Nothobranchius furzeri: one gene and its partners. The protein of the gene in region 3 purifies or fractionates together with the protein of the main gene of each other region. This does not show direct contact. Links are inferred from orthologs where the notes say so. Each region holds a gene or a part of one and is shown on either strand. Other genes may lie near its edges.

The links.
Region 1: the proteins of ibtk (region 3) and eif4a1b purify together in Homo sapiens (co-immunoprecipitation; 4 studies listed by BioGRID and IntAct, counting the BioPlex papers as one, with this or other methods). This does not show direct contact. The link is inferred for Nothobranchius furzeri from reciprocal best matches to the Homo sapiens genes IBTK and EIF4A1.
Region 2: the proteins of ibtk (region 3) and rpp25l purify together in Homo sapiens (co-immunoprecipitation; 3 studies listed by BioGRID and IntAct, with this or other methods). This does not show direct contact. The link is inferred for Nothobranchius furzeri from reciprocal best matches to the Homo sapiens genes IBTK and RPP25L.

Annotation. Positions count from the first base shown.
Region 1 is NC_091743.1:86,634,185-86,645,299, forward strand, and holds eif4a1b (eukaryotic translation initiation factor 4A1B), read left to right. Parts: upstream 1-5,790; 5' UTR 5,791-5,875; coding exon 5,876-5,898; intron 5,899-6,974; coding exon 6,975-7,017; intron 7,018-7,264; coding exon 7,265-7,397; intron 7,398-7,645; coding exon 7,646-7,785; intron 7,786-8,279; coding exon 8,280-8,448; intron 8,449-8,595; exon of another isoform or gene 8,596-8,736; intron 8,737-8,899; coding exon 8,900-9,009; intron 9,010-9,102; coding exon 9,103-9,246; intron 9,247-9,324; coding exon 9,325-9,462; intron 9,463-9,566; coding exon 9,567-9,656; intron 9,657-9,876; coding exon 9,877-9,956; intron 9,957-10,058; coding exon 10,059-10,203; 3' UTR 10,204-10,248; exon of another isoform or gene 10,249-10,570; 3' UTR 10,571-11,001; downstream 11,002-11,115. UniProt on the Homo sapiens protein: ATP-dependent RNA helicase which is a subunit of the eIF4F complex involved in cap recognition and is required for mRNA binding to ribosome.
Region 2 is NC_091745.1:59,616,445-59,625,630, forward strand, and holds the end of rpp25l (ribonuclease P protein subunit p25-like protein), read right to left. Parts: intron 4,492-9,186; coding exon 3,865-4,491; 3' UTR 3,295-3,864; downstream 1-3,294. Other genes in the region: gamma-aminobutyric acid type B receptor subunit 2, read right to left, coding at 209-379, 461-598, 957-1,208. UniProt on the Homo sapiens protein: May be a component of ribonuclease P or MRP.
Region 3 is NC_091745.1:53,126,351-53,136,526, forward strand, and holds the end of ibtk (inhibitor of Bruton tyrosine kinase), read left to right. Parts: intron 1-175; coding exon 176-300; intron 301-1,400; coding exon 1,401-1,513; intron 1,514-1,597; coding exon 1,598-1,743; intron 1,744-1,938; coding exon 1,939-2,057; intron 2,058-2,492; coding exon 2,493-2,591; intron 2,592-2,697; coding exon 2,698-2,844; intron 2,845-2,965; coding exon 2,966-3,166; intron 3,167-5,586; coding exon 5,587-5,719; intron 5,720-6,042; coding exon 6,043-6,168; 3' UTR 6,169-6,398; downstream 6,399-10,176. UniProt on the Homo sapiens protein: Acts as an inhibitor of BTK tyrosine kinase activity, thereby playing a role in B-cell development. Down-regulates BTK kinase activity, leading to interference with BTK-mediated calcium mobilization and NF-kappa-B-driven transcription.

The DNA of each region.
Region 1 (11,115 bases), on a different chromosome or scaffold from region 3:
TACACAACACGTCAGACTTTTTTGCGTTGTCTTGCCTGTTGTCCTTCGGGAGTGCTGCAGGAGGACACACAGGGATTTATGGGGGTTGGATGAGGAAAACGAAATAAAGAAAGTAAATCTGTGTTTTGTGATCAGTTTAATTTGACATGAACACGACAAACACGCTTTCTTGACAATCTTTGTGAGTAAAAAAAACGTGTAGAAATAAAAACGAACAACGTGTGTTATTAGGGAAATAGCGGGTGAGCGGTGTTGATCAGGGTATCCGCGGGTCCTTAAAAAGTCTTAAATTTGCTTTTCCAAATTTAAGGCCTTAAAAATCCTTATAAATGACAAATATTCCTTAAATACAGTTTCCAAAGGTCTTAAATCACCAAAAACCCATAAACAAAATTATTTTATTACTGTGAAATTTTCATGAATTTCTAGTTGGTGTTCAGCATTTTTGTGTACGATGTTGCCGTAAGTGGAACCGTACACACTCAGCTGGTTGTGAAAGGGGGCTATTTTTAGATGAGCACATTAGCTGGTTAAGCTAGTGGGAGCTTGCACCATGGGGAAGTGCAACATTAATGGTAACTGGCTGGCTAATCCCACGTTCACGATGTGGTTAGCACCGGTTCCAGGCAATAGCTGGAAATTATAGCTTAAATTTAATTTAAAAAATAGCTTAAATTTGGTCAAAGTGGCCTTAAAAAAGGTCTTAAAAAGTCTTAAATTTGGCTCCCTTAAACCTGCAGATACCCTGGTTGATGCATGATTGCGCATGCGCCGTGAGCGGTTCTGGTACTTTTTGGGTCGCAGCTGCTCGCAGCGCCGCTTCAACAGTGCGATACCCTCACGAGGGCCGAGCAAAATATCAAACACACCAGAAGTTCGTGCGAGCTCACGATTGCTGATCGGTAGCTGGTCACGAGGTGTTAATCGCCTCTCGTAACCCCCTGTACACTACACGACGCTCGGCGCAAAACTCGCCCCGATGTCGTGGATTCTCGCACGAGTGGAAAATCGGCTCAAAAAAGTGAAGAAGTCGCACAGTGTACGCCCGGCTTTAGGCAGGTGTCTGGTCTGAGAGCTGAAAACACACAACAGCTATGCTGCAGAACTTCCACTTCTCTATAGATGTCAGTAATACAGAATCCTAAATGATGTGATGTATGAACTATGGATCTTTTTAATTTGGTGTGGTGGGTTTATGATTAGGTTAGATTAGTCCAAGTCGTGTGCACTAGATATGATCGGATTGTGATTTTCAAAGACTTAATTTATTTTCTTTTTCAGCATATTTTCAAGTACCTTCAAGCTGAAGCCATCAAAAAAGACAAACCTGACTTTTTGATGGGGTGGAAAGGCCTTTTTAAAATGGTAAAGCTGGACTGTTTCCTTCTGTAGCTGCTGAGCGGTGATATTCTGACCTCCTGGATACTGATGTTGTTTTGGTGTTTTACAGAATGTGGGTCGCCAGAACAACGACAGTGACTGTGGTGCTTTTGTACTACAGGTGAGTTTGCAACCAGTCCCAGTAGTTGATCACACATACAGGCTGCACCATTAAACAGACCCTTGTTGCCCAGTACTCCTGGTTTCCCATCAGCTGTGATCACACGCTGATCAGCTGGGACACTTTGTTGGTGGAACCCAAAGTCCTGGAGCCGAGTTGATGTGCACCTATGTTTAAAGGGACTTTACGGACTTTTGAATTTTTATGCTCGCGATTGCCCCCTCAGGCCAAAAGCGTAACGGCAGCTTCAATAGTAGGCTCGTGCACGAGGCGCGCATGCTGTACGTGCACACTCCTTAACGAAAATAACAGCTGAGACAGTCGTGTGTGTGTGTGTGTGTGTGTGTGTGTGTGTGGCCCGGAGGACAGGAGAACGCGCAGCTAATTAATTAAATAATTTGGTTCTGTACCTTTCTCTTCAGCACAGCCGACAAAGGTTTATGATGGGTCAGTCCTCCTGCATGCTCAGATCATTCCCTTCCCTTGCTTGAAAAATTGTTCCAAAATGAAAGTTGAACCCACAACTTTTTATCTGTGAATTCAATGCTGATCGGCAAGTCTCAAATAAAAATTTGTACATCTTACTGTAAAAATATATACCATTAATGTAAAAAATAAACTCTCAAGTAAATATGTTCACATCTGGATTCGAACCCGGGTCTCCCACACAAGAGTCCGACGTCTTACTAGGTGAGCTAAAGCGCCAGTGACACCCTTTGTATCTGTAACGTTTATATCCTTGATTGCAGCTGAAACAACGTTCAAAGAACGGTTCGGAGTGAAAATGGCTATTTTGTTGCTAATTAGCAGGAAATATCTAGAAGAAAGTTCTACAGAAAGTAGCTAAGGGTCCTCAGAAATGTAGCTAGCTTTGTCACTAGGCGTTAGGAACAGCGACAAAGTGGCACTGCCTCTCTCTCTGCTGCTAAAGCTACGGATAGCAAATGCTACGGGCGATGCCTGAGCGTGAACGCGCATGAAGCAGCCTGCTCGACCCGAGCATCTCTCTTTTTCTGTGATTTTACAGAAAAACAGGCAATCACAGTAAAAATGCCAGGGCTCATTCTACAGGACCAGGGCATTGCAGGAGAACGTATGAAAAAGACATTTATTATTTCTATACATGTTTTGGCTGTCACACTTCCATAATGTCCCTTTAAACAGCCGCACCAACACGTTAACCACAACAACGCTTGGCTGCGATTGGCTAAGAAAGGATTGTTTGTTTTTACACTCAAATGCATTTCAGAATGAGTGAAATGTGTCTGAGTTCCTTGTGTAACGGGAGCTTTCCACTACGGCTGCAGTGGGTGGGCGTGGGCGACCCAGCACATCAGTACCGCGAGGTGATTTGTACACAAAACACAACAGAGAAGAACACGGTAGTGATGCCGAACATTCTGCTCAGTCAGTTGCTTTTTGTCAGACCCTGAAAAGGTTGCAGGCAGCGAGGCGGACTCCACCCCCTAGCCAAACACTGACCGACATTCACCGTTATCGGCCCGGGTCGTTAGGCCTGGAACCACATCGATTCAAGTGTGAAAAAAGAGCGGTGACTACAGACGTGTTACTAACGGAGATGGCCTAACCGCGCTGCTCTGAGTGGGACACAACTGTCCAGTAAAACCTAGAACCTGCAGCCGTCTGCAGCACAGACATGAAGCGTTGGGTTAGCGTTTCCTGGTGAGCGTGCCTTGGTGCTGTTAGGAGGTGAATGCATAAAAGTAACTTGTGTCTGTTCTTTTTCCTCCCTGTCGCAGTACTGTAAGTGTCTGGCTCTAGGACAGCCGTTCGGCTTCGGGCAGCAGAACATGCCCCAGCTCAGGAGGCAAATGTACAAAGAACTGTGCCACTGCAAGCTCACCCTGTGACCTTTCACCTCTAGCCCCCTCATCCCAACCACACAGAGGTGATGAAACAACTGAAGGACAAGGGTAGGAACTGATGGGCTGGAGAAAGGACTAAACAAAGCCTTTGTTGACTCCTCCTGAGAAAAGACACTTTGCATATCCACTGTCACCGTTTTCCTTTAGTCTGCTTCCCTCAGTTCACCCTTCTGAAAAGTTGGTTTGAATTTAACGCCGTAGTTCCTGTATAGTAGCTGCCAGAGATGAAGACCAGCATCCATGTTGGGAATGAGCTTATTGTTCATCCTACTGTTGACTCTGAAGCACGAATAAGGGTTTAGAGGAGGCGGTTCTAGTTTGTCATCATTTCATGCTCCTCACGGTTTTTGTTTTTGTAAAACCAACAATATTGCCACCCATAATAAAATGCTAGAGTGAGTTTTTGGACAATGTCAGTTTGTGTTGGTACCATTTCTCTGTGTAGTTTGATCCGAACCCCTCATCGATGTCTTCAGCTGGGTCAGCGCTGGGCCTGGATCTTGGAGTAAATGCTGCCAGGAGAGGGTTTTCATAAGAAGTTTGTTTGAGCTTCACCGTCAGCGGACAAGCCAGACCCCCCCCCCCGGCTCCAGCACCGTAACCTTTTTGCCTTCTCCAGTAACAAATGTAACTGAGTAATGTGAGTTTTTGTTTCTGCGTCTCAGGGCAGCCAAACAAAGACCCAGAGTGAGGGGAGCCTCTACTTTGTCTTTTTACTGTGTTTTTATTCCTGTCAGTAAATGTGGTGAAATGCGTATTGCTTTGAACTAATGGTGTTGAAACGGACTACGTTTTCTGTTCTTTTGCAGTAAGTCTAAAAAATGTTTTAGGTTTTTTTAAGCCATTTTGGTGGGGACCACAGCAGCTACACAACAGGCACCATATGTCCACAACTGAGTTACGTGCTTTCTCTCTTTTTTTTTGTTCCAGTGTATATATATATAAAAATATATACACAAAATAAACATCATACTTGTGGATAGTTGTGTTTTTAGATTTGCATCCTGTTTTCCTCAGTTGATGCAACAGAGTTGTTTTCTATATCTTCTATGATGCATTATGGTTGCTAAAATAAAAAAAACATGTGGCAAACAAACTGTGTATTTAAAGCTTGAGTAGCTAGTCATCCATAAAGTCAGTGTGATGATAATAGGGATGCAACGATACCACTTTTTTCCAAACCGATACCAATACTTGGATCTGAGTACTCACAATACCGATTACCACTACCGATACTTCTACCACACAAAAAAATGCAATGATTTGGAATTCAGATTTTATTTTCTTCTCTGCTTTCAACAGGAGGACTGTGAGGTAGATAAAAAGTAAAATATATGAAAAGAAATCATCACAAAACCAAAATATTAGGTGAACAGAAATGACAAGTTACAGTGAAGCCATTTTCAAGCAACTGCATTGGTATCGGTTAACTTTTACCGATACTGGTATTGGTATCGTATCGGTGCATCCCTAGATGATCATTCATAATTTACATAAAAAAACATTTCATGACCCGAACAAGTGGAGTATATTCTTACAGAACCTTCCAGCAGGTCCGGCCATTCTGAGCCACTCTTGCTTTAGTGAACTAAAAATGATTCATCCTAAATGTGTTGATTTTGGACTCGACCGCAGCATTTACACTTGTGGTGAAACGTGATTTTAAACATCTATGGATTAACATATCTGAAGATTCAAGTGGCCTTTACTCTTTGACCAAAACAGACAGAATGAGAAAGTTTACAGATAACAGATGTAGGGAGCACGGACTATCGCCACTGAGGTCAGAGCTCAGCTGACCTGCACAGGTAGGACAAAACAACACATTACTGCTGTCAAAAAGAATTACTGTGACAATTTATTAGAACTGCAGAAATGTTTATAAGAAAATACATTTTTGTAATTGTTTTACAACATTTTGGGAGGGATAAAACACTTTGGTACAATACATTTGATGTACTAATTATGCACTGTAAAAAGAGTCCAACCTCACAATAACTTAGAAAATGAATAAACTCTGAATGTGCGGTGTAAGTTAATGTTCAACTGAAAATGATTCTCATTATTGACCCATTTTATCAGCCATTAAAGGTCAACATTTCGCATTTATTTTACTATTGCGGTTAACGTTTTGCCCTTTTTGGGCATTATTGTTCTTACAGTAAAGGTTTGAAGTCAGCTCTGAATCAAGTCCCCGCGTCCCGCTTCGCTCTCAGTAACAAACCATGATTTTTTATCTCTAATAGACTTTCGTTCTTGTCAATGTTTGTTTTTGATCGTTTAAACGAAAAAGATCCCTACCTCTTTCTGGTGGAAAGCAAAGTTCCGCCTAGTCCCGCCTTTTAAAAATACATGTAGGAGTGGACCAATCACGAACCTCGACAGGCGGGTCTACAGAAAAGTGACGGTGATGTTGTCCAATGAAAATGCGACGTTGTGAGTTCTTCATATATAAGAATTTTCTGCCCCGGATTCTTTCTTTGGAATAATGTCGGCTGAATATGATAACAGGTCAGTGAAATAACGAATTGTTCAAACAATATTATACTGTTTTATTTACGATATTTATTGCCGTTTGTGTTTTTTGTGTCGAATTGTGAGAATTGGTGACTAGGAACTCGCCCGTAATATAGACTTTGAGGCACCGCGAGTGGCTTATTAAAAGGACTAGCCTTGTTAGAGGCCTGTTCTCAGTGGTGATGCTAGAATCTCAGTCTTATTGATCGATACTGATATCACTTAGGTAAACCAGTTCAAAAGTTGATTTTGTAGGTTTAATCGCGTATTTGTATTCGCCAGAAGAGTGAACGTGTATTAAAGATGTCGGCCCTGAGAAAAAAGAAAAGGCTGCCGGTTCCGTGTAGCACGTGAGGGCTCCAGGCCTTCGCCGACTTGGTAGTTTAGGGTGTCTGCCGTCACTCCGTTACCAAAACCAGCGAAATGATGTTCCGTCTGTGATTTCTCGCGTACAACCGACCATTTGCAGCCTTCCCGTTAGCGTAGGCGTTAGATGTTCTGGCCTCGGTGATCGGTGCACATGGCGGCGCTAACTGGGAGGGTGGACATGCTAACGCGACTTTTCATTTTTCTGTCATTGCCGCCGCTGGAGCAACCCTAATCCGTTCCTCACGGTTTCCCTCGGCAAGGAAATTGTTGGTGATGGATTCTACTAGCTGTATCCTTGGGTAGAGACCCAGAGGCCCGCTTAGGACCAGCTAAGTTAGCAGGCCGTGGCTACAAGCTAACTCTGTCTCGCTGGACCGTTGCCATCCGGAACGTCATGTTCCGTTTTTGCTCGTTAAATACTTCATCTGACCGTAAACTCGAATGTTTTCCGGGCCACGGCCTGTTTCAGTGCCTTTGCTAGCTGGTCGGATCGACCATCTTGAATGCGGCCTACGATAAAAATGGCGGACTCCGTTGAAGGATCCAGTCTGGTCGCTTTACCGTTTAACGACTTCGGTCGGTTCTACAGACTACCGGGCTGGTTCCGATCGTTCTGGACCCGTTACCGGACCCGTCTGCTGACGGAACCCAGAGAAATGATGGATCCGTGATTTTAATGAATATTCATTGTTTGGTTTCAGAGACAATGGCCCCGAGGGCATGGAGCCCGATGGCATCATCGAGGTAAAAATTTCTACTAATTAAAGGTTTCTGACGTAGATGTGTTCCTGCTTTTTACATATTTGATGTTTCACATGTGCAGTAACTGCCTTGTATGATTAGGAGAGATTAAGCTTTTCCATCTGGACTGAGTTTAAAATGAACAGGATCCTTTTGATTCTAAGGCCTTGTTGCTGATTCTGTCTTGGTCTCATCCGATCAGCATTTGTAGGAAATATTGACGTCACTCTGCCTTGTTTCTGTCTCCCAGAGCAACTGGAACCAGATCGTGGACAGTTTTGATGAGATGAACTTGCGTGAAACTCTGCTCAGGGGAATCTATGCTTATGGTTTTGAGAAGCCATCTGCTATCCAGCAAAGAGCTATTCTCCCTTGTATCAAGGGTAGGTAAGAGGACTGGCCTCAGGGTGCACTTTAGTGTTTTCCTTAGATTAACTAAAATCTCAGCAGCTTTGTTTTGTCTTGTGTGGTTGACTGGTTACACAACATCATCGTACCGATGACTCATCAGCCCTGATGTGGCTAATGTTGCACCTTTAGGACAAGCCCGTATCAGCCAGCTGGAGTGGAGTTGGTGATGATGATCTGGATTAGTTTAGTTGAAAACCCTTTCCGTCTCTCTGGTCTCCAGGTTACGATGTGATTGCTCAGGCCCAGTCTGGCACTGGGAAGACTGCCACATTTGCCATTTCCATCCTCCAGCAGATCGACATAGAGCTGAAAGGCACCCAGGCTCTGGTTCTGGCTCCCACCAGGGAGTTGGCTCAGCAGGTAAGGACCCAGTCACACCAGTTAGGGTGTTGGCTATTGATTTCTCAACAGGCCTGTGACTGAACTGACCCAAGGGACTTAAAACTGGCTCGCCCAGCATGAGCAAGAGCTCCTCATCGCTCTTCCCTCCGCCCACCCACTAGACCTACTTGGGTTGAAATTGAGTTAAATGCCAAAATACAAAATTGTGATTTTAAAAATGTAAAAAAGGGGAGGGGGGGGGTGGAAAACGATCAGTGGCTCCTGGGAAAGGCGGGATAGGTTGAGCAAAATAAGGACAGTGTTGACGAAGGTCGCGTGAAAGCCAGCTTAAATGAGTGGATGACCATGTTGTGAAGCACCTTGGGGGGGGGGTTGTAGGCCCTTTACTACTAGGTGGGGACAGACTGGGTGACTAGTGAGTTTAGTGCATTGCTGCCACATCTTCCTCACCTTAAGTCTGACGTTGGTTTAGGGTTGTGGTTCCTCACAAACCACCTGGCTTGTGTTTGCAGATCCAGAAGGTGGTTCTGGCTCTTGGCGACTACATGGGGGCCAGTTGCTACGCCTGCATTGGGGGCACCAGCATCCGCAGTGAAGTCCAGAAGTTGCAGGCGGAAGCTCCTCACATCGTGGTGGGAACCCCGGGCCGTGTCTTTGACATGATAACACGTAAAAACATCTGTGAGTACTTTATCCGTCTCTGGGAATGACACACTTCTGGTAGATGGACTTGTATTGGACCAGGCCTAGAAGGTACCAAATGGTCGGGTTCTTTGGGTTAGTGGGTTGTTTCTTTTAACAGATCACTTCCTGAACCCAGGAAGTGCAGTATGATGATGAAATCCATGCGTGTCAACTGACTCTTGAGTCGTCCTGGTGTGGTGATGTTCAGGCTAGCGTTCTGCTGACCTGGGTTTTCACAACATCAGGGACTTGGAGACATGATCACACCCTCATGGTTCTGAGTACTTGTGTCAGGAGGTACCTTTAGCTCTCTGGACTTAGTGTGAATGAAAACAAGAAGTCCTGTCTGAAGTGACTTCCCAGAAGGAGGACTTAAAATAGGAAGGCGTTTCAACATCAGGTTCTAGCATTTGTACAGGAACTTAAAAAGCGGCGTTTTGTTTTTCAGCCTCTAAATACATCAAGATGTTCGTGCTTGATGAGGCTGATGAGATGCTGAGTCGAGGATTCAAGGATCAGATTTACGAGATCTTTCAGAAACTGTCCAGCAACATCCAGGTAAGACTCCAGGAGGGCTGGGACCTTCAGACCACAGTCTAGGTGTAGAAAAGGGTTGGTGTTCATGCTGTTCTCGTGGTTTGGTGCTGATAGGTTGTCCTTCTGTCGGCCACAATGCCTGCTGATGTTTTGGAGGTCACAAAGAAATTCATGCGAGACCCGATCCGGATCCTTGTGAAGAAGGAGGAGCTGACCCTTGAGGGTATTCGTCAGTTCTACATCAATGTGGAGAAGGAGGTGAACCAGCTTGGGCAGCATGGTCTGTTATGGGTGTGTAGAACCTGGGCTGACCATCTGACTTGGTTGTGTGTACAGGAGTGGAAGCTGGACACGCTGTGTGATCTGTATGAAACCCTGACCATCACACAGGCCGTCATCTTCATCAACACCAGGAGGAAAGTGGACTGGCTCACTGAGAAGATGCATGCCCGAGACTTCACCGTTTCTGCTCTGGTAACGGCCTCTCAGAGCCTGGTGGAACCAGGACCCGCTGCATATCCTCCGTAGAAATTCAGACTGAAGCTCGGCTGGTTTCAGGTTTATTTTGTCTCTCTCAGCACGGTGACATGGACCAGAAGGAACGAGACCTGATCATGAGGGAGTTCCGCTCTGGTTCCAGTCGAGTCCTCATCACCACTGACCTGCTGGTGCGTCCTCTCTCTCACACACACACACACACCCCAGAGTTCCCTCTCCTCCCATCTGTGGTGGTGGTGCAGGACTGATTGTTCTTTGGGAAAGTAACTCACCCGTCCTCCACTGTGACTCGGTTCAAGTCTGAAGCTCTCAACTGAATGGCGGGTTACACGTCCAGCAGCTGGCGTGTGTGTGTGTATGGAGATGGTTAACATATGTGTTCTCCTTCAGGCCAGAGGGATTGATGTCCAGCAGGTGTCTCTCGTTATCAACTACGACCTTCCAACCAACAGAGAGAACTACATTCACAGGTACTCGCAGAAATACTGCGGTTTCCTCACTATGACCCCACCAGCACCACCTCTTCCTGGTTCTGGTGAAGCTCTTCATCCTGCTTTTGGTTCTCCCTTCAGGATTGGTCGAGGTGGTCGTTTTGGAAGGAAGGGCGTAGCCATCAACATGGTGACCGAAGATGACAAGCGAACCCTGAGAGACATTGAGACGTTCTACAACACCACCGTCGAGGAGATGCCCATGAACGTGGCTGATTTGATCTAGAAAGATACCACAGGCTCTTCTTGCCCCAGTCTGCTTATTTTAGAAGTAAAATCTCGTTTTTAACTTTATGATCTGATTATTTTTCTTTGAATTCCATCATGAGTTTTTACATCCAGACACTTGACGTTGTTGTTGGCCTTTCATGAACTGCTTCATCTTTCTGCTGTAGTTTGATCAGACCAGCACCTGAGCGTTAGCGGCTCGGTGCTGATGCACGTGGTTCTTGTTCTGTAGCCGGCGCTCCTGTCTGGTTGATCACAAGTGTGAACATGAGCAGTGTCTTGAAGTGTTTAGTGCAGCACCGCTCGGGTGTCTCCTGGTTGCAACTACAGTTTACACTCCACAACTCGATGCTTTAACCCCACAGGGGCGCTGGGTTTGACCAGACCAGTATTTCCTGACTCCAGTGGGACTCTGCAGCGTTCACCCGTTCATGTAGAAGAGATCCGGTTCAGGAGCATGTGAGGCTGATTTAATAAAGAGCTGTTAATCCAAACGTGGTGTGAAACTTTGCCTCCAGCACCAGATTTCCTGAGCTTCAGCCTTGTGCTTTTAGACTTGTTTGTTTTAAACCCTAATGGGGTGGGAGGGGGGGTGAGAAGTGACATTAAAGGACCAAACCAGAAAACGGAGGTGAAATCCTCTCCTAAACCGGTCGATACCCCTCTTCATACCTCCTCTAGCCTCTTTAACATGACTTAACCTTTTTTTTGAGATCGTGTATCAAGTTTTCTACATTGCTTTCTGTAAAGTATTTATTTTAATGGCCTTTTAAAAATAAAGATTTCTCCTTTTTAACAGTGTAAACTTGGCTCTGCATTCAAAACCAGAAAAACAGTGGATCCTTGCACTCCAGCTGTTCTGAAGGGGTTGGTCACATGACCGTGGGGGTTAGAAATGTGGTCTGTCCAT
Region 2 (9,186 bases), about 6.5 Mb from region 3:
ATTCTGTTATCTGCACAGAACAAAGGTTAAAGGTCACATTCTGAGAAATGTATTCTGAAGGGTTGTTTCAGACAAAAGTTTCACTGATTAAACTTCACAAAGTAGTTTTTTTGTTAAAACAGATCTCTAATAAATGCTCAAATGATAGATGGAATTGGTGTTGATCTTAGATTTGTCAGTAGGTCAGTAGGTCACCATCTCCCATCACCTCAGTCAACCCAGGTTCTTCCTCTGTAACCAGCCCGATTCGCCTCCACTTGTATCGCTGCAGCAGCTTCACTGCGGCCTGGTTCAGATTTCGAACTGAAGGAGCTGTGCTGAACAGGTTCCTGTACCACTTCTTGTTGGATTGGCTGGGGGGCGGGGCCACAAAGGACACCTTTGAAACCATGGGAAAATAAAATGAGGTGATAACTCAGATAACAGATCACACAGAGTGATGACATAAAAAATGTTGCACTTGAACCAGGCTGAGAGCAGGCAGAGCACGAGCGATGAGCGCCGTTACGGGTGGACACATCCCCCCAAACAGTAACAGGTACCTAGGCCCCGCCCACAAGGTGTCAAACAGGACTTTTAGAGCTTTAGCAGGATCACACTGAAAAATATGAATAAAACACCATCATGTGTGTTTGTAGGGAGAACTGAGCAAGATAACAGTTGGAACTCTTCATCCCTTGGTATCATTAGGATGTGTCTACGTGTTGGAGAAGGAACGAGAATATCAGAGGGAAAACCAAACTGGAACCAGGAATGTGCATCAGCCTGAAATGCTGGAACAGATGAATGCTGACTAAAAACAAGGCTGACTAAACAAAATGTGAAATTAGAAGAATTATTGGTTCCTTTTATTTTTACAAAAAAAAGACATTCTACTTGTTTTAGATCTGTTGGAGTGAAATCTAGAACACAGCTGACCAAAGTTTATCAGGAGGCTTTTAGTTCTGGAGACCAACCTGTGAGTCCAGCAGCTGGAACTGGATCTCATAGTTTCCCAGTGGTGGTGGCTGTTTCTCCAGGTCCTGCAGAGCCAGTCTGACAGCTGGAACCAGTCTGGCCATCAGGTTCTCTCGACCTGGCCCAGGGCTGACCGGCATCATCAACAGCACGGGCACAGGGTGCCGGACCAGAGCCAGCACTGATCCGCCTGCCAGCCAGCAGACCAGCAGTAGCTTCAGCCCTTCCTGAACCCATCCAAACCCACCCATTCTCTGCTTCGATTGCAAACTTCTGATCGTCCTGCAGGAAGAGTAATCCTCAGTAAGCAGCTGACAGGCGACGAGTCCTCTGAGGAGATAAAAGGATCAGCAGCAGCGCAAGATGTCACCAGTAACCACAGATTAACACCAAAAACACAGTAAAACAAGAAAGCATTCATAGACAGTGCTGCTATAAAAGAAGAGAAGAGCCGCTGTGACAGCCTTGTCATCCAAACAGGAAGTCACTGAAAATTAAAATAAATTTCAGCAATTTCAGTGTTAACAAAACATTTGTAGAAAATGTGCTGCATGCTGCCACACTGCTTGTAATTCAGGAGGCATGGCCATAATAAAGCATGCAAGCAGAGTAGAAAGTAACCAAAGTATGTTTTGTTGATTAAATAATTTATTTGTGATTGTAGTTCAAAATAAAAATATGATAAATTGCACTAAACTAGTAAAAATACACCATCTGCTTCAGTCACACCAGCCACACACAGAGCAGGGGTTCATTAAAACAATTTGGACAATTTCGACTCGGGCTTTTCTTTCAGTGACAATCATTTATATTTCTGAAAGCATTCTTTGTTGGCAGCATTTTTCAGACCTGCCAAAACTTTTGCACAATACACTCTCTCCCTCTGTGTGTGTATATATGTGTGTTTGTGTGTGTGAGTGTGTGTGTGTGTGTGTGTGTGTGTGTGTGTGTGTGTGTGTGTGTGTGTGTGTGTGTGAAGTACAATGAATGTATTTTCGTTCAGGTTCGCATTTTTATTCACAGTTGAGGTGTGTGTGTGTGTGTGTCACGGTGTGAAAATGTGGTCATGCAACCATTTAACCAGCTGTGTTGCAAGATTTTCCATGTCCAAAATGAGCTTATATGATTTCCAGACCGTTCTGTGCATAAGTAAGCTTTAGAAATGAGAAATCTGATCACTACCAGACCTGGAGAACTAAAACCCATTCCAAAAGAACCTGTGTGCCAAAACAAAGTAGGTCAGAAGATAGAAGCAACCTTCATGCCTTCTTCTAAAGATGTTCAAGAACAGGAAAATCCAGAACAACATCTAAAGCCCTGCTGGCCTCACCAAAAACACCCCAATGATCCCAAAGACCTCTGGATAAATCTGTAGACTGAAGAGACAAAAGCAGGCCTACCTGGAAGGTGTGCATCCAGTTCCATCTGGAGTACTACAGCCAGACATGGTGGTGGCAGTGTGATGGTATGGGGCAGCTTCAAGACCTGGACAATTTTAGTAATTTGGAACCATGAATCACGCCCTCTATAGCACATCCAGGAACAGGTAAACAGGTTGTTCATGGCATTCCATTTTCATGAAAACATTTAGAACACAGCAACGATGTGAATTTTATGAATGTGTTTTAGCAATTAGCAGACCAACAGCTCCTACACAAAAGTATTTCTCATATAAACAATATAATTTGAGAGAGGAATGGAATTTAAAATACCCATCTGTGCGCACGAACAACAGTAAAAAGTCAGTGCATCTCTGTTTGTGGGGTAAAATTATGGAATGGATTAAATAGTGATTTAAAGCAATGTCCAAGTATGACCCAATTTAGAAAGTGGTACAAAAACATGGTCTTCATGAGGTACAGGGAGGAAGAGGGATTTTGACTCAAAAAGATCCAATGAGTGGTGTGAGGGTGTAAGTGTACAAAAGAAAATGGGGTGTGTTGTAAGTGTGTGTAGTAGGGAATGTTAATCGCTGTGTGTGGTGGATAAATGGAAAAGGTATGTGGAACTATTTTGTATGTAATGGTGTAAATAGGCCCTTTGACTATAGATGAATATAGAAAATTTATGATGAATTAGAAAAACGACATTGTTCCTTTTGATCTTGAACAAATGGAAAAGGGGGTTAGGATTTAAAAAGCACTAGCTTCCTCCTACTCCTTTTCAAAAGGAATATGATAATTAAATTTTTGTGTGATTATCAGTGATTTTATTTTAATGTCTACAATGACTTTATTATTATTATTGTTATAATAGTTATTTTATTCTTATTATAATGTTCGAAATAAAGATTTCATTCATTCATTCTCTCACAGAGAACCAAAAATAAAAACGCACTTGCACGCCAAAGAAAGCTTTATTTTCTACGTGACTATCACACAAATGGCTCTCCTTTATGATGAACACCAAAATATCAACAACTCTTCAGCATGAAGGAGGTTTGGTTTGTCCGAAACATTTGTCAGCTTAGAGCGGCCGTCCTCTTCAACACCATCTTTACCGTGGTGCGTTCATGTTCGTCCTCGGTTAAAAGGTCACAGACAATATGAACACAGCACCGTGCAACACAATCTGAGCTGTACGCAGACCTTCATGTAACTTTATGAAAACCCTCATCAGATTACAGCTGTTTGAGCAACAAACATCTGGATGACTTTAAATGGGTCGTGGAGACAGATTCCGATGGAAGATGGATGACATTAATGAACTCTTACATGTTGGTGGGAAGGAAAGTTGGGTAAAACATTCTTAGAAAAACAAATCCAAATAAACATTTGGTTTGGAGCAGACTCCTCTACCTCCTTATATTAAAACCAACTAAACCAGTTTAAACCTCCCAGTGTCCCTACATGTCCACATGCTGTAGAAACACCTGAGTCCTTCTGGTGCTTGACCAGAGCGTTAATTTTAACGGCCGGTCCCCTTCCCTCTGCCTCTGCCTCCTCCCCGTCCTCCTCCCCATCCTCCTCTCTTCCTGCGGTGTCCAGCTCGCTGTCCCGTTGGCCCGCCACCTTCCTCCTTGCTGGCGGTCGGAGCCCAGAGGGCGTCATAGCGGCCGGGCGCCTGGTATCCTGGCTGGTTGGAGTCCAGTGGCTCCCTGGAGAGGAGGATCCAGATGGCAGGCAGGTTCCTGTTGACGGTGAGGCTGTCGAGGCCGGCAGCAGGCTCCAGCGGCTCCCACACCTCCACCACGGAGCTGTAGGTGAGCTTGGTGACCTGGTGGAGCCCCTTGAGGCGCCGCTTCACAATCTCTGCACAGGTGATGGCTTTGGAGACACCCTTCCCAACGGCGGTAAACACGATCTGTTTACAGAGCGGCCGGCCCGGTGGTTCTTCGCTTCCTTCCTCAGGTGTGGGCCGTCCCTCCTCCTCAGCTCGTGAGGGACTGGCCTCCAGGCGACTCAGAGCAAAGCGCAGCAGGTTGCGGATCTTGCTTCCATCTTTAACTCGCACCTCCGGGGTGTCGGGGCAGAGGTCGGTAAACGGACAGACTGAAGGCCGCTCTACGGTCCGCGCTTTACCGTAATTCTCCATCTGCAAAAACAAAAGCACGTTTAACTAACCGGCACATTTGTTGTCCATGTTTTCATCATCTCAAATGCCAGAATTTTATTTCTGCCACATTTATTGAATTATTTGGTTTGAACAATTCATAATCCACACTTAATATTAAGAAATAACAAGTCACCATCGTTTAAAGAAAGAAAAGTTTAATCCTAATTTAGATTTGACCCAAATTATAAATAATCACCCAAAATGAGCAAAACTGGGATCTCTGGGATGAACGATTAGGAGAAAGGAGTTTCTACTGCAGCTGAATCTTCATCTTGAGTATTTTTTTTAAGTCATGCTTCATTGTTGCAGAAGTCATTTGATGAACAACTTTGATATTTATAATAAATGGTCACTTTATTAGGCACACCTGTACAACCAACACATTCAAATATCTAATGAACCAATCACGTCAGCTGGTCAATGCATTCTGTCATCTATGAGTCTGGACCTCAGCTGTACGTGTCATGAGTCGGGGTGAGTACTCCCGTCGCACATTCCACCTTTGAGTTGTTTTTCAGGAGAGGGAGGCGCCCAGCTGCTTCTGGTTAGCAATCAACGGCACTGGCTTCTTAAGGAGTTGGAGAACACACCTCAACGCGGGATGATTACTACTACTCGGTATATTCCAGCCGTCTAGTGTTGCAGTGACTTTGTACCTCTTGTGTTTTTTTTTGGCTTATTATTCGCTGTGGATTTTTGTGTATACATCTTCTTCAGGATTTTTTTGGAACATCTCTGGAGTAGAGCCTTCTCAGGATTCAGTGACTCATCAGGAAACTCACCTTTGCCACATAACAGTCTGGACTCAGCTTCCCGTGTTCTCCATCTCTCCAGTCGCCCCACTCCTCTGCTTCCCACAAGCTCCCTCTCCTGGATTTACTCACCTTGACTCACCCAACTCTCGACCGGCCCCTCCCGATTTTTCCTCATCTCCTTCGCCCAGTAAGTCTTATCTCTGCACCTCCTCAGTTAAGACTTACTTCTCAGGACTCACCTTATTTTGCTCTCCCCCTCCTCAGACGCTGAGTACGGACTTTACTCATCCACTGGAAGCTCCAGTGCGCTTTTGGTTCCTGTCTACTAATAAATACCTTTTTTTTGATCTTTATTTGTGAGTGTGTTGATTCTGCATGTCCTGGGTTAAACTCCTTCCCCAGATCATGTCAGAATCATCCCGCCAACCCGCTAACCCAGCAGACTCAACCCTCTCAGATCTTCTTCAGAGAGTGTCTCAACAGGAGCAGACATTACCACTGCTTATGGATCAGCTCAACGCTGCCCACAATCGTTACCAGCAGTTGGAGGCCCTAGTCCGGCAGATCCATGAGCGGGTTACGCAGCCGCTGCCACAGACTACAAGGTCGGAACCTCAAGCAGCCGCTCCTGTTGCTTCCGGACCGGGAGTTCCTGTCCCCACAGAGACTTCTCATTTTCGTCCAGCCATTTCTCCTCCCTCACAGACATTCAGCGGTGAGTTCGAAGAATGCCACAGCTTCCTGCTCCAGTGCCGGCTTGCGTTCGAACGCTCACCTGGAGCCTTTCCCACGGACTCAAGTAAGATTTCTTACGTTATTGGACTGCTACGTGGAAGAGCCCTACGGTGGGCGGAAGCTAAGAGCCATTGTGCTGCCTTTTTAGCAGGACCTTTTGATGAGTTTTTAGCGGACTTTACATTAACTTTTGGACAGACCGAGTCCGTTTCAGATATAGGAAAGAGACTCTGGAACCTGTCGCAGGGCCGACGATCGGTTGCAGACATGTCGGTAGAGTTCCGAACCCTGGCAGCTAGGACTTCGTGGAACGAGGAGGCGTTGATGGCTGCATTCACGGAGGCCCTCAGTGTTCGTGTACGGGATCAGCTGGCGCTGTGCCCCGAACCTCAGTCTCTCGAGGGGCTCATTCGCCTGGCCATCTCCATTGATAAACGTCACCAGGAGCTACGGCGCCCCGCCAGCAGTGCCCGTCCAGCTCCTATTCCTGACCGAAACCTGGGTGGTCTTCGCTCCTTTTCCGAGACCCCCACAGCTGATGAACCTATGCAGATGGGTCGCACTCGCCTTACCCCAGAGGAACGGGAACATCGTTTGAGGTCAGGTCTCTGTTTATATTGCGGGCAGACCGGACACTTTGCCAGAGCCTGTCCTGCTCTGGGAAAAGGGAGAGCCCATCAGTAAAGCCGGGGCTACTGGTGGGCGGAAATTCAGACTCTTTTAGCTCCCGTTGTTCAATTCCATGCACTGTGTGTTTTAATTCTGAACAATTTCAGTTAGAGGCTCTGGTGGACTCTGGTTGTGAGCAATCTATGTTGGATGTCGGTTTGGTAAAGAGGTGGAAAATACCTACCACCCGTTTGTCTTCTCCTCTCACGGTTTCGTCTCTGGATGATCGCAGTTTGTCCACCATCACTCACCAGACCATCCCACTGCAGATAAAGGTGTCAGGTAACCACACAGAACTTCTGGCATTTTTTGTATTTCCCTCTCCCCAGTCTCCAGTGGTTCTTGGCCATTCCTGGTTGAAACACCACAATCCCCAGCTGAACTGGAGAACCAGTCAGATTGAAGGATGGAGTCCTGAGTGTTCTCTAGCCTGCCTTCGCTCAGCTGCACCAACTCTCCAACATTCCACAACCTCTCCTTCTGAGAAGATTGACCTCTCCAACGTTCCTCCGGCCTACCATGACCTCCGACAGGTATTCAGTAAGGACCGTGCTTCTTCTCTTCCCCCACACAGACCTTTTGATTGCTGCATTGAGTTGTTACCCGGAGCCCCACTTCCCTCCAGTCGACTATATCACCTTTCCAAACCTGAGAGGGAGAGCATGGAGAAATACATCCAGGAGTCTCTAGCAACCGGTCTTATCAGGCCGTCCACCTCACCATTGGGGGCAGGGTTCTTCTTTGTTCCAAAGAAGGAGGGGACTCTAAGGCCCTGTATTGATTACAGGGAATTGAACCAAATAACAGTAAAGAACAAATATCCTCTGCCTCTGTTAACCTCCACTTTTGAACCCATTCAGGACGCCACCATTTTTAGCCGCCTGGATCTCAGAAATGCGTACCACTTGGTACGAATCAGACAGGGTGATGAGTGGAAGACGGCATTTAAGACTCCGTTAGGACATTTTGAGTATCTGGTAATGCCTTTCGGCCTAACAAATGCTCCAGCTGTGTTTCAGTCTCTGGTGAACTCTGTTTTAGGAGATATGTTGAATAAGTACGTGACTGTCTACTTGGATGACATTTTGATTTTTTCAAAGACTCTGGAACAACACGTCTTGCATGTGCGTTCTGTGTTGCAACGACTCCTGGAGAATCGGCTTTATGTGAAGGCCGAGAAATGTGTTTTTCATGTCTCTACTGTTAAGTTTTTAGGATTTGTGATCGAAAGTGGAAGACTGAGGGCTGACCCTGAGAAGGTCCAGGCGGTCACAGAGTGGCCTACCCCCTCGTCACGTAAACAGCTTCAGAGATTCCTGGGTTTTGCCAATTTCTACAGAAGATTCATCAGAAATTTCAGTCAGACTGCCATACCTTTAACCAACCTCACATCCACTAACCGCCCTTTTGTTTGGTCCACAGAGGCTGAAGCAGCCTTTCAGAAGCTGAAAAAACTATTCACAAATGCTCCAGTGCTCCATCGCCCAGACCCCCAACTCCAGTTTACACTCGAGGTGGATGCCTCAGACACCGGAGTCGGCGCCGTGTTGTCACAGGTATCACCGCTCGACCATCGCCTTCACCCTTGTGCTTTTTTTTCTCGCCGTCTCACCCCAACAGAGAGCCGATATGACGTGGGTGACAGAGAGCTCTTGGCGGTGAAACTCGCCATTGAGGAGTGGAGGCACTGGCTCGAGGGAGCTGAGATTCCCTTCATCATCTGGACTGATCACAAGAATTTGGTCTACCTCAGAGAGGCCAAGAGACTAAACCCACGACAATACAGGTGGTCCCTTTTCTTCTCTCGTTTCAACTTTCAGATTTCATACCGACCCGGATCCAAGAACGTAAAACCGGATGCTCTCTCGAGACAATATGCTTCTGACCAGGAGACTGAGCTCTCCACCATCCTACCCCCGGCGTGTGTTGTGGGAGGTGTGACGTGGGAGATACGTGACCAGGTACTGGAGGCACAGAGAACTGACCCTGATCCAGGTAAGGGACCTCCAGACAGGCTCTGGGTTCCGCAGGCTGTGAGAAGCAAGGTCATTCACTGGGCTCATACTGGCAAATTTTCACTTCACCCCGGAGTAGGACGTACTATTGCACTCATCAGACGCACATTCTGGTGGCCGGCCATGTACCGAGATGTCAAGGATTATGTTTCAGGTTGCCACATCTGTGCTCAGCAGAAGGGTGATCACCGTGCACCTGCTGGACTGTTGAACCCTCTGCCGACCCCCTCTCGACCATGGTCTCATGTGGCTCTGGATTTTGTGTGTGGTTTACCGAATTCTCAGGGATTTAACACCATACTCACCATTGTGGACAGATTCTCCAAAGCATGCCATCTCATTCCTTTGAAAACTCTTCCATCTTCTACTGTTACAGCCAAACTGCTCATCAGACATGTTTTCCGGTTGCATGGTATCCCGGAGGAAATCTTGTCCGATCGTGGTCCCCAGTTCATATCCAGAGTCTGGAGGGAGTTTGCAGAGGCTCTGGGGGCCCGAGT
Region 3 (10,176 bases):
GGAAAAACTAACAGTTGGAACCGGTTCCAATCGATGCTCGATGCCCAACCCTAGATTGTGGAATTTTTACCAGTCCTGCAACTCCTGTTTTAATAAATGCGTAAATGAATAAAGGTATCAGGAATTTTAATCCCTGATGTGATTATTTTCTTCCCGGTGTATGATTTTGTTTCAGATCCCAGCAATGCAGAGGCGTGTCATCACCCCGTACCCGGGCGCACCGGACCTGACTTTCTACGAGGAGGATTTGGACTCGACGTTTAGCCCCAAACCAGAGGCAGAACTGGATCAGTCTTGCAGGTACTCAGATAGATGTGTTCATGTCTGACCTTAGCGGTGTGATGTGGACCCTACAGTAACATTTATTAGTTATGACTTTGCTGATGTAAAACGCCAAAGAAGGTTGTGTCCCTCTAATAGGTTGACGAATATTTTTAGAATAGAATTCAATTCAATTCAAGTTTATTTATATAGCGCCAAATCACGACAAGAGTCGTCTCAAGGCACTTCACATAATAAACAATCCAATTCACAGTTCATTAAGCCAATCAGAAATAATGTTTCCTATATAAGGAACCCATCAAATTGCATCAAGTCACTGACGAGTGTCAGTGACTATACAGCAATCCTCATACTAAACAAGCATAAAGCGACAGTGGAGAGGAAAACTCCCTTTTAACAGGAAGAAACCTCCAGAGAATCCTGGCTCAGTATAAGCAGCCATCCTCCACGACTCACTGGGGATCAAGAAGACAGCAGAGCAGACGCACGCACACACACACACACGCACACACACGCACACACACGCACACACACACACACACACACACACACACACACACACACACACGCACACGCACACACACACAGAGAGAGAATAGACTTTATTGATCCCACAGTGGGGAAATCCACTTGTTACAGCAGCACCAACACTTAGAATAACTTGAAGAAAAATCATAACAAAGGTACACATAGGCAGTAGTTACTCTTACTGCAGAGGGGATGAATGACCTACGGTAGCGTTCTGTTTTACATCTGGGATGTCTCGGTCTGCCTCTGAAGGAGCTGTCCATGGTCTCCACAGTGGAATGCAGTGGATGGGAGGGTTTTTTTTTAAGATGATGGTCATCCTCACCAGCATCCTCCTTTCACACATCTCCTCAACTGAATCCAGTGGGCAGCTCAGAACCGAGCGAGCTTTGTGAACTAGCTTGTTCAGTCTCTTCCTGCCTCAGTCAGAGCTTTAGCACTGAAGGTTAATATAAAAAATCAGACTGAATTAAACTTTACACCCATCCTGTGATGCAGTGTTTGACTGGATGCTAGCATGGTGTCAGCACCAGTGTAAACGTGATTCTCTCAGGAGCATCGTAAATGTTGTGAATGTTGTCCGTCCTCAGGGAAATCCTGCTAAAGAAGGCAAAGATGAAGGCTAAAAAGAAACCAAGGAGACGCTCTGACAGTTCAGGAGGTTACACTCTCTCTGACATCATCCAGAGTCCTCCTACTGCAGGTGAAACTTGATGTCCGTTTCTGTTTAACAGCAGCATGCTGTTGGGTAATCTGACACATTGTCACCAACATTCCTGTTGTCCAGCGGTGTCTCCGCTCCTGGTGAAGTCAGGCAAGGCCAACTCCACCGAGTCCCTGCAGGAGATCCTCACGTCTGACTCTGAGAGCAGCTTTATGGGAGTCGGCAGTCCCAGAGATGTTCAGTCACCTGTGTTCCCTGACCGAGCTGAGGTTTCTTTTACATATTTAAGATTTATGCTCACAGTGTGAAAATCTAGTATCTAATCTTTACATTTGATGCGACTTGGGTAGCTTTAGATGTATTTAGTCATTTCTGAAGGTTGGATGTTTCCAACCCTGTACAGCTGGAATACAGATCACTGAGAGGATAGGTGTGGGAGTCTGAAGGTTTTTATTATTCTGCAGGATGACAGAGCTTTTAGTCAGAGACTGAAGAGCCCCCCCAGCACCCCAACATCCCTGAAGAGCAGCGTCCCCACACTGTCCTCCTCCACTCCACAAATTATTCACAGGACTCTTCCCTGGTAAGGAAGGTTCTAAAGCTCTGCACATTTATAAACACTTCATCTTATTACACTAAAACAAATTAAAGTTGAAGATTAAATAGTGGTTGCAGCACAACTTGTAATTTCTGTAATTCTGCCATTTTGCATGTTTTTTTAAAACAGGGACTAATTTCTACAGTTTGATAATTCAATTCAATTCAAAAATACTTTATTAATACCAGAGGGAAATTGATTGCTGTGGTAGCTCAGAATAATAATAATAATCAAGTCATCAAAGAGTTGTTGTATATTACAATGGCTGTTGGCAGGAAGGATCTCCAGTAGCGGTCAGTGTTGCAGCGAAACTGAAGAAGCCTCTGACTGAAGACACTCTTCTGTTGTCGGACAGTCTTGTGAAGAGAATGCTCAGGCTTGTCCATGATTAAATAACAGCGTCCTTTTAACCGTCTGCAGCCCAACTCGTGCATCCCCAGTGTTGGATCTAAGGACCATCATGGACATGGAGGCCAGCTTCCTGCAGACTCCTGGTGCTTCTCCTAAAAGTCCTGGAACGTGAGGAGGGGGTTGACTGCTTTTATTGGATTTTTTTTAACAAAGGATTTTATTTGATTATGTGATAGTTTACTTCAGCTGTACATATTTACCCGTCTGACAACAGCAACATCAAACACTCGCTGGTTTCCACTAAACTGTCCCAGAAGCAGAGGAAGCTGTTGGCCATGGCCAGCAAGGAGGCCAGTGGGGAGCCTCCAGCCTCCAAACCAGCCCCCACAGGAACTCCGTCCAGATGCAGCGAGAAAGCCTGGTGAGAATGAACGCTGACCTTTTCCAACAACTATCCTTTTGATATGTTGATATGATCTACAGGTGGATTCACTTGCCAACCAGCATTCTGTAGTGCTTATATATTTGTTTGGTTTTTGTAGGGCGACAGCTGTCCAATCCTCACCATCCTTGTGTTCATTCCGGGCTCTTCTGGAGGAAGAAGAAAACTGTTTAACAAGAGAAGGACAAACAGGAACACAGAGAGGCCAAAGTGCCCTGGGCCCCCCGGTCAGCGCCACACCTGCTGCCAGGAGGGTCACGTTAAAAAGTACAGAGAGCAGCGAGCCAGAGAGACCTGCAGGGTGAGCAAATCCCTTCTACACAGCAGACGTGGAAATAAAAACAACACACACACACACACACACACATTGCACAACTGAAGTAAAAAAAAAAACATTTTTTTGTTGTACTTGTTATGCTTAATTTACATAACTGCTTTTTAAAAAGTGTTTTAACACTTTTGAATGTACACAGATCCAAACCAAATTATGAAATGGATTATTTTTGCCTGTGCCATGTTCTTCTTTGGTGTTGGAACACTAAAGCAGAAAGAACTAAAACTACTTCCAGAACAGATCTCATTTCGTTCTGTACCTATGATCTCCACTTGAAGGTGCTGTTGAGATGTTTGAGACTTCTGTCCCTTGATAACATCAACTTTGCACATTTTTTATATTTTAGTCTTTCCCCCTAATCTCTCACCCATAAGTTATTATTTTTACTTTAGCTTCATTTTTGTGTCTGAATGAAAACAGAAATATTATGCTGTGGTGGCATAAATGTTGTTTATTCTAGACTGGAAAAACAAAAAGGGATGTGTGTGTGTGTGTGGATGTGTGTGTTTTTGTGTGTTTGCTTTTATATGTTTAAGTGAACTTTAACCTGTATTGTATGGACATTTCCACACTGTGGGGATATTTTGCTGGTCCACACAGTGCTGGTGTGAATTGGCTTCTAGTTTGGATTAGATTCGGGTTATTGATAGAACCACATTGGTTAGGGTATGGGTTAGACTTTGTGGTCACAAAAATGAATAGAAGTCAATGGATGGTCCTCATTATGACAGAAGTGTGTGTGTGTGTGTGTGTGTGTGTGTGTGTGTGTGTGTGTGTGTGTGTGTGTGTGTGTGTGTGTGTGTGTGTGTGTGTGTGTGTGTGTGTGTGTGTGTGTGTGTGTGTGTGTGTGTGTGTGTGTGTGTGTGCGTGTGCGTGTGCGTGTGCGTGTGCGTGTGCGTGTGCGCGTGCGCGTGCGCGTGTGCGCGTGTGCGCGTGTGTGCGTGTGTGCGTGTGTGCGTGCGTGCGTGAGTGAAAGAAAGAATTTGTTGACTAAGTCTGGTTAGACAAATAGAGTGAGGTGTGGTGTTCCACTCTGAGAGGTGTGTGCAGCTCTGAGTGACCGGTACAGCTGGGTTGACCTGCCTGCAGACCCAGAGTCACTCTGACCTTTGCTGACTGCTAGAAAAACACAGTAAACACACACCATACACCCTGACATGCTAAAAGTCAGCCCTGGTTTTTATATGCTTTTATTTTCTGATCTCGGCTGTTTGAGACCAAAAGCCTAAAAAAAAAAAAGAAAATTCCTCAGCGTGCTGCCATTTCTGACGATCTCCGTTTATTTAAGGTCTTGAGAGAAAAGCGAAGGCATTTCCAGTATCTTATTCTCACTGCTGTATTCCTAAAGCTTGGTGCTGCGATGATAAAAACAGACTTGTGGATATTAAACAGCTGTGAGATTCAGTCAAGTGAAGCCGCTGATGTTGATCAGAAATGATGAGGGCAGTCCTCATGTCACTGTGGATCACACAGAGCAGAGAGCACGTTTCAGCTCTTCCTGGGTTTTTGGATGAGCAGAGACAGACAAGTTCAAGGCTCAAGAAGGACCAGCAGTAGTCAGCCTGCTGGGACAGATATAATAGAGATCCCTTTCCAGTCTTTGATTTGACCAAACGGCAAACACTTTTATTTCTTATATGATCTCTACAGATGTACCTTTTGGCCATATTACTACACTTGTCTTATGTATAGCACGAGACCCAACAGGGGCCAACAGGAGGCACTCTGACCAAATGCTCGAACCACCTTGCCTAGATTCTGTCCACGTTGAGGTGCCGTGAGCCCGCGACTGTACTCTGTCTCTGCTGGATGTCTGAGCTCCTCACCCTGTGGCTGAGTCCAGCCATCCTATGGAGGAAACTCATTTTGGCTGCTTGGCTTTGCGATCTTTATGCCATTACTCAGAGTTCATGACTGTAGGTGAGGACTGGGATCACCATAGCGTCCCTCACCATAGCAGACCGGTGAAGGAGCTAAGCCAGAAGCCCGTAAACACAGCATGCTATATGCGACTTCACTTCTTTGCACACAGGTAACTTCAGAGCTGTAGACTGGAATGGAGTCTAAACATGATGATGTTAGGATCCTCTCAAATCGAGGTATAGAATTAGATCTGAGCCTTAACATCTTCAGTGTGAACTTGTACTACTTCAGTATAATAGAGTTTGGGATTAAAGTTATTTACCACCTTCTGACTTTGATTGTGTTTGAACTCCAGCCGTTATCCAACACACAGGTTTGTAGCCAGGTAGAGACACGGACTTTACCTCATAGGAGCTTCTCAGGAACGGTCGACTCAACCTTTGCCAAGTCATTCAGACTCTTGCTGCTTTCACTCTAAATGCTCGGCCGCTGATGCTCTGTGTGTTGCCCGTATCTGCCCTCAGGCCTTGGGTGCTGGGTGCTGTGGGCAGCCCCCCCCTCGCCACCCTGGTGACCTTTGCCTCCATCGTGGAGGAGGAGAAGCAGCAGGAGGCCGCTCTGGTCCGCAGCCGGGAGAAGCCGCTGGCTCTCATCCAGGTAGGCGCTCATGTTCTCACACCCTGCTGAAGAGAAGCTTCTGCGTCCAGCCTTAAAGCAGAGAAGCTGCTGTCTGGTTAATGTTATCCAGTAAACAGCAGTTCTGGTCAGTAATAAGGTCCCTCCAGTGCTGCTCAGCTCTCTCTACATACAGGCTGCTGCCATCACACACCCCCTCCCATGGGACTTCCTAGTTATCATTATATTAAAGACTCTTATTACCGTTAAGCTGTCAGCATTTATTATTTTTCCCACCAGCAAGCTGAGGTTTTGCTGAATGTTTCATCTGATTCCAGCATCTGTGGCTGTTCTTTTCTTCGTAGATTGAAGAGCGAGCCATACAGGACCTCCTACTCCACTACAAGGCACGGGACAACCCAGATGAGCTGATAGTAGTGGAGACAACTCCCAGAGGTCCCATGGCTGCCCCGACCTGGCACAAACACTGATCCATTAGTTCTGTTGAACGAGGAGCTCGGAGAGAATCTCCCCTTCTCTCCTCAAGTGTTGCTTTCATCTAGTTTAATAGCTGCACAGAGTTTCGTTTATGTGATGGAAGGTTTTCTTTCAGAGGTTAGTCTCTGACCATCTGATTACTCACGCATCGCTCGGCAAAAACTACACATGGTACGGTCAGCAAGTTTAGGTTCATGGAGTCAAATGAAGTTGCCAAAGATTGAGAAGGAAAGTTGATGCTTAAGCAGCTAGAAAATGCTCAAAACTCAAACACAAAGTGTGTGTGTGTTTTTCTGTTTGTGTGTGCGTGTGTAATAGGTGGAAGTTCCCTGTGTGATTAAGAGTGCCATTGCCTAACTGGGTATTTATCTGCTTTACCTAATGAGTTATTTTTCCTGACCTGTTTGGCTCTTCGCCACAGCTGAAACATTTGCAAACGTTTTCCTTAAACAGGAATTTATCACAGAAAATGCTAAAACAATTTGGTGCAGACTTGACCGTCACTCTTAGACTTTGATGCCATTTAAAATAATGATATATTTATCTTGAAAAATCCATTCAGTTGGACCACCGATTCTCCTGTTTAGATGCCATCTTTGTGTTTGTTCACGTGTCTGAGACCTAAAGATGTGAAGAGAAGCTGGCATGCAATAATAAATCATCTCAACTGTGGAATGAACCTGGCTCGTTTGTATGCTTCCTAATAGGTTTGAGTGATTTGAATGAAGGTAAAAAAAGAAAGTACTTGCGTCAGTAATTTGCTACTTTTACAACATCTGTCCAGAATGAGAGAAAGATCATTATCAAGTCTCCACCCGTGATTAACTCTGATGACCCTGATCTCCACGGAGAGCCAGGTGATTAAAAGTAGAGCATCACATCTGAAGTCAGAGAGGCGGCTCATGAGGGAAATGTTAATCACAGATTAGGATCCATTAGCCAGCGCATGATGAAACGTTAAACTAACAGGACAAACTCTTCCTTTTGACATCACACTAATGCAGCGTTAATATTTCTAAAGAGCTGCTCATTCTGTTTGTGCCCTGAATATCAATGCAATCTTTCAAGTGTCAGAATGAGTCTGTGGGGCTCAATAAGCAACTTTAAGATGATTCTGGAGAGTCTTGGTACTTTTGTGTGTGTGTGTGTGTGTGTGTGTGTGTTTGTGCGCGCAGATTCTACCTGCAGCTTCCTAAAATCATGTGTAAGTAAACTCAAGCTGATTTTGTTGAGGCTAAAGAAAGCCAACGTGATGGTGCCTGGGCGTTCTGTGTGTTCTTTAAAGTTTCAGTTGAGATCTTCCTAAAGAGACCACACTGCTTGTGTTCTGGTGGAGCTCTAAGCTGAGGATGACCATAGGCAAACACCTGGGTGTGGATCAGAGATGCTCTGTGTTCTCTAAGCTGAGTTTGACCCATCTATTCATTGCATGATCCTGCTTTTCTGAGAGCGAAAGGTTGCATCAGGTCAAGGTTATTTCTCTCAGAAGCTCTGGAACAGAAAAGCATTAGCAGTCCTGATATGGAGCAAAGCAATCCAAAGCTCAGAAGGAGGTTTACTGTCAGGCATGCAGCAGCTGATCGTGCAGCTAAGGCCTCCACGTGGAACACCCCATTACAGATGGGAAAATAAATGTAACTGACTTTAATTGCTTACATTTTTTTGAGTTTGTTCTGATCTGCAAAAATTAGTTCTAACCTGCGCCCCATACTGAAGGTTAATCTAACAGTTTCTTTTCCATTGCAACAGAGTCCAAAAGGGCCTTTCGAGGTTGTTTGCAAAGCTTGCAGACCTGCTGATTCTTGCTAATTAGAAAATACATTTGAAGTCGGTGTGCTCGTGGAATGGCTGCCTTTTCAGCATGGACCCCCTCCCTGCTGGCTTCAGTCCTGGACCATCAACACCACAACCATCAAATCACATTGGAGCTATGTCTCCAAGTGCATTACATAAGCTCCACTGATATCAATTTGCAGCAATTCAAAGACTACAGCAGCTTAATGCTGTATCTTATTTTTTCTTAGCAGATGCCCCACATTATTCCCATCATAAAGACTTATAGACTCATATATGAATGTGAAAAAAATGAACATTCAATAACTTGGTCTGAGGTGAATAGTTATGTTTATTACATGATCCTAAACCGTTTAAAGCGAGATGAGAATAATAGCCATAATGTTACAGGGTTACAAGTAACTTTGGTGTAATGAACTAAAAAGCATGAGCAGTTGTCAAATCATCTCAACAAGTCTGTCTTGGGCAATCTTATTAAAGTTTTCATAGACATAAATATGCCCTACAGCATCATATTAAAGTTGAACAATTATCCAAGATTAATTTTAGATTGAATTGTTGGTTCTACATTTATAAATAACATATGAACTCAAATTCCATCCATCCATCCATCCATTTTCTGCAGCTTATCTGGAGTCAGGTCGCGTGGGCAGCAGCCCAAGTCGAGATGCTTAGATTTCCCTCTCCCCAGCCACTTGGGCCAGCTCCTCCGGGGGAACCCCAAGGCGTTCCCTGGCCAGCCAAAAAACATAGTCCATCCAACGTGTCCTGGGTCTTCCCTTGGATCTCTTTCCAGCTGGATGTGCCCAGAAAACCTCACCAGGAAGGTGTCCAGGAGGCATCCTGACCACATGCCCGAGCCACCTCAACTGGCTCCTCTTGATGTGGAGGAGCAGCAGGTCTACTTCAAGCCCCTCCCGGATGACCGTGCTTCTTACCCTATCTCTAAGAGAGAGCCAAGCCACCCTGCAGAGAAAACTCATTTTTGCTGCTTGTATCTGGCATCTCATTCTTTAGGTCACTACCCAAAGCTTATGACCATAGGTGAGGGTAGATCAACTGGTAAATCGAGAGCTTTGCCTTTAGACTCAGCTTTCTCTTCACCACAACAGATCGGTACAGCGTCTGCATCAATGCAGATGCAGCACCAATCTGCCAATCGATCTCATGCTCCGTTTTTCCCTTACTCATGAACAAGACCCCAAGATACTTGGACTCATCCACTTGAGGCAGGACCTTGTCCCTGACCTGGAGAAAGCATTCTACCCTTTCCCAATTTAAGAACGTGGTCTCAAATTTAGAAGAGCTGATTCTCATCCCAGCCTCTTTACACTCAGCTGTGAACCGCTCCAGCAAAAGCTGGAGATCACTGTCTGATGAAGCCAATAGAACCACATCATCTGCAAAAAATAGGGACTTGATCCTTAGGCCACCAAAACAGATCCCTTCAATACTCTGGCTGCGCCTAGAAATTCTGTCCTTAAAAGTTATGAACAGAGTCGGTGATAAAAGGCAGCCTTGGCGAAGTCCAACTCTCACTGGAAACGAGCCTGACTTACTGTCGGCAATGCAGACCCAGCTCTGACACCGGTCATAACAGCCCTTATCAAAGGGCCTTGTACCCCATACTCAAGGATTAACCCCCACCCCCCACAAGGCCCCACCCCGGGGGACGCGGTCGATCGCCTTCTCCGAATCCACAAAACACATGAAGATTGGTTGGGCGAACTCCCACGCACCCACCAAGATCCCCCTAAGGGTATAGAGCTAGTCCAGTGTTCCACGGCCAAGACGAAAATCACTTATCTCCTTCTGAATCTGAGGTTCAAGTATCCGACAGACCCTCCTCTCCAGAACCCCTGAATAGACCTTACCAGTTTAGGCTCAGAAGTGGGATCCCCCTGTAGTTGGAAAATACTCTGCGGTCTCCCTTTTAAAATAGGGGGACCACCATCCCAGCCGCGTTAACCAACACACCCCAACAACATCCAGACCTTTAAGGAACTCAGGGTGGATCTCATCCACCCCCGGGACCTTGCCACTGAGGAGTTTTTTGACCATCTCAGTGATCTCGGCCCCAGAGATTGGAGAGTCCGATCCAAAGTCCCCAGACTCTGCTTCCTCACTGGAAGGCGTGCCAGTGGGATTGAGAAAGTCTTTGAAATATTCTGTCCACTGATCCACAATGTCCCGAGTAGAGGTCAGCA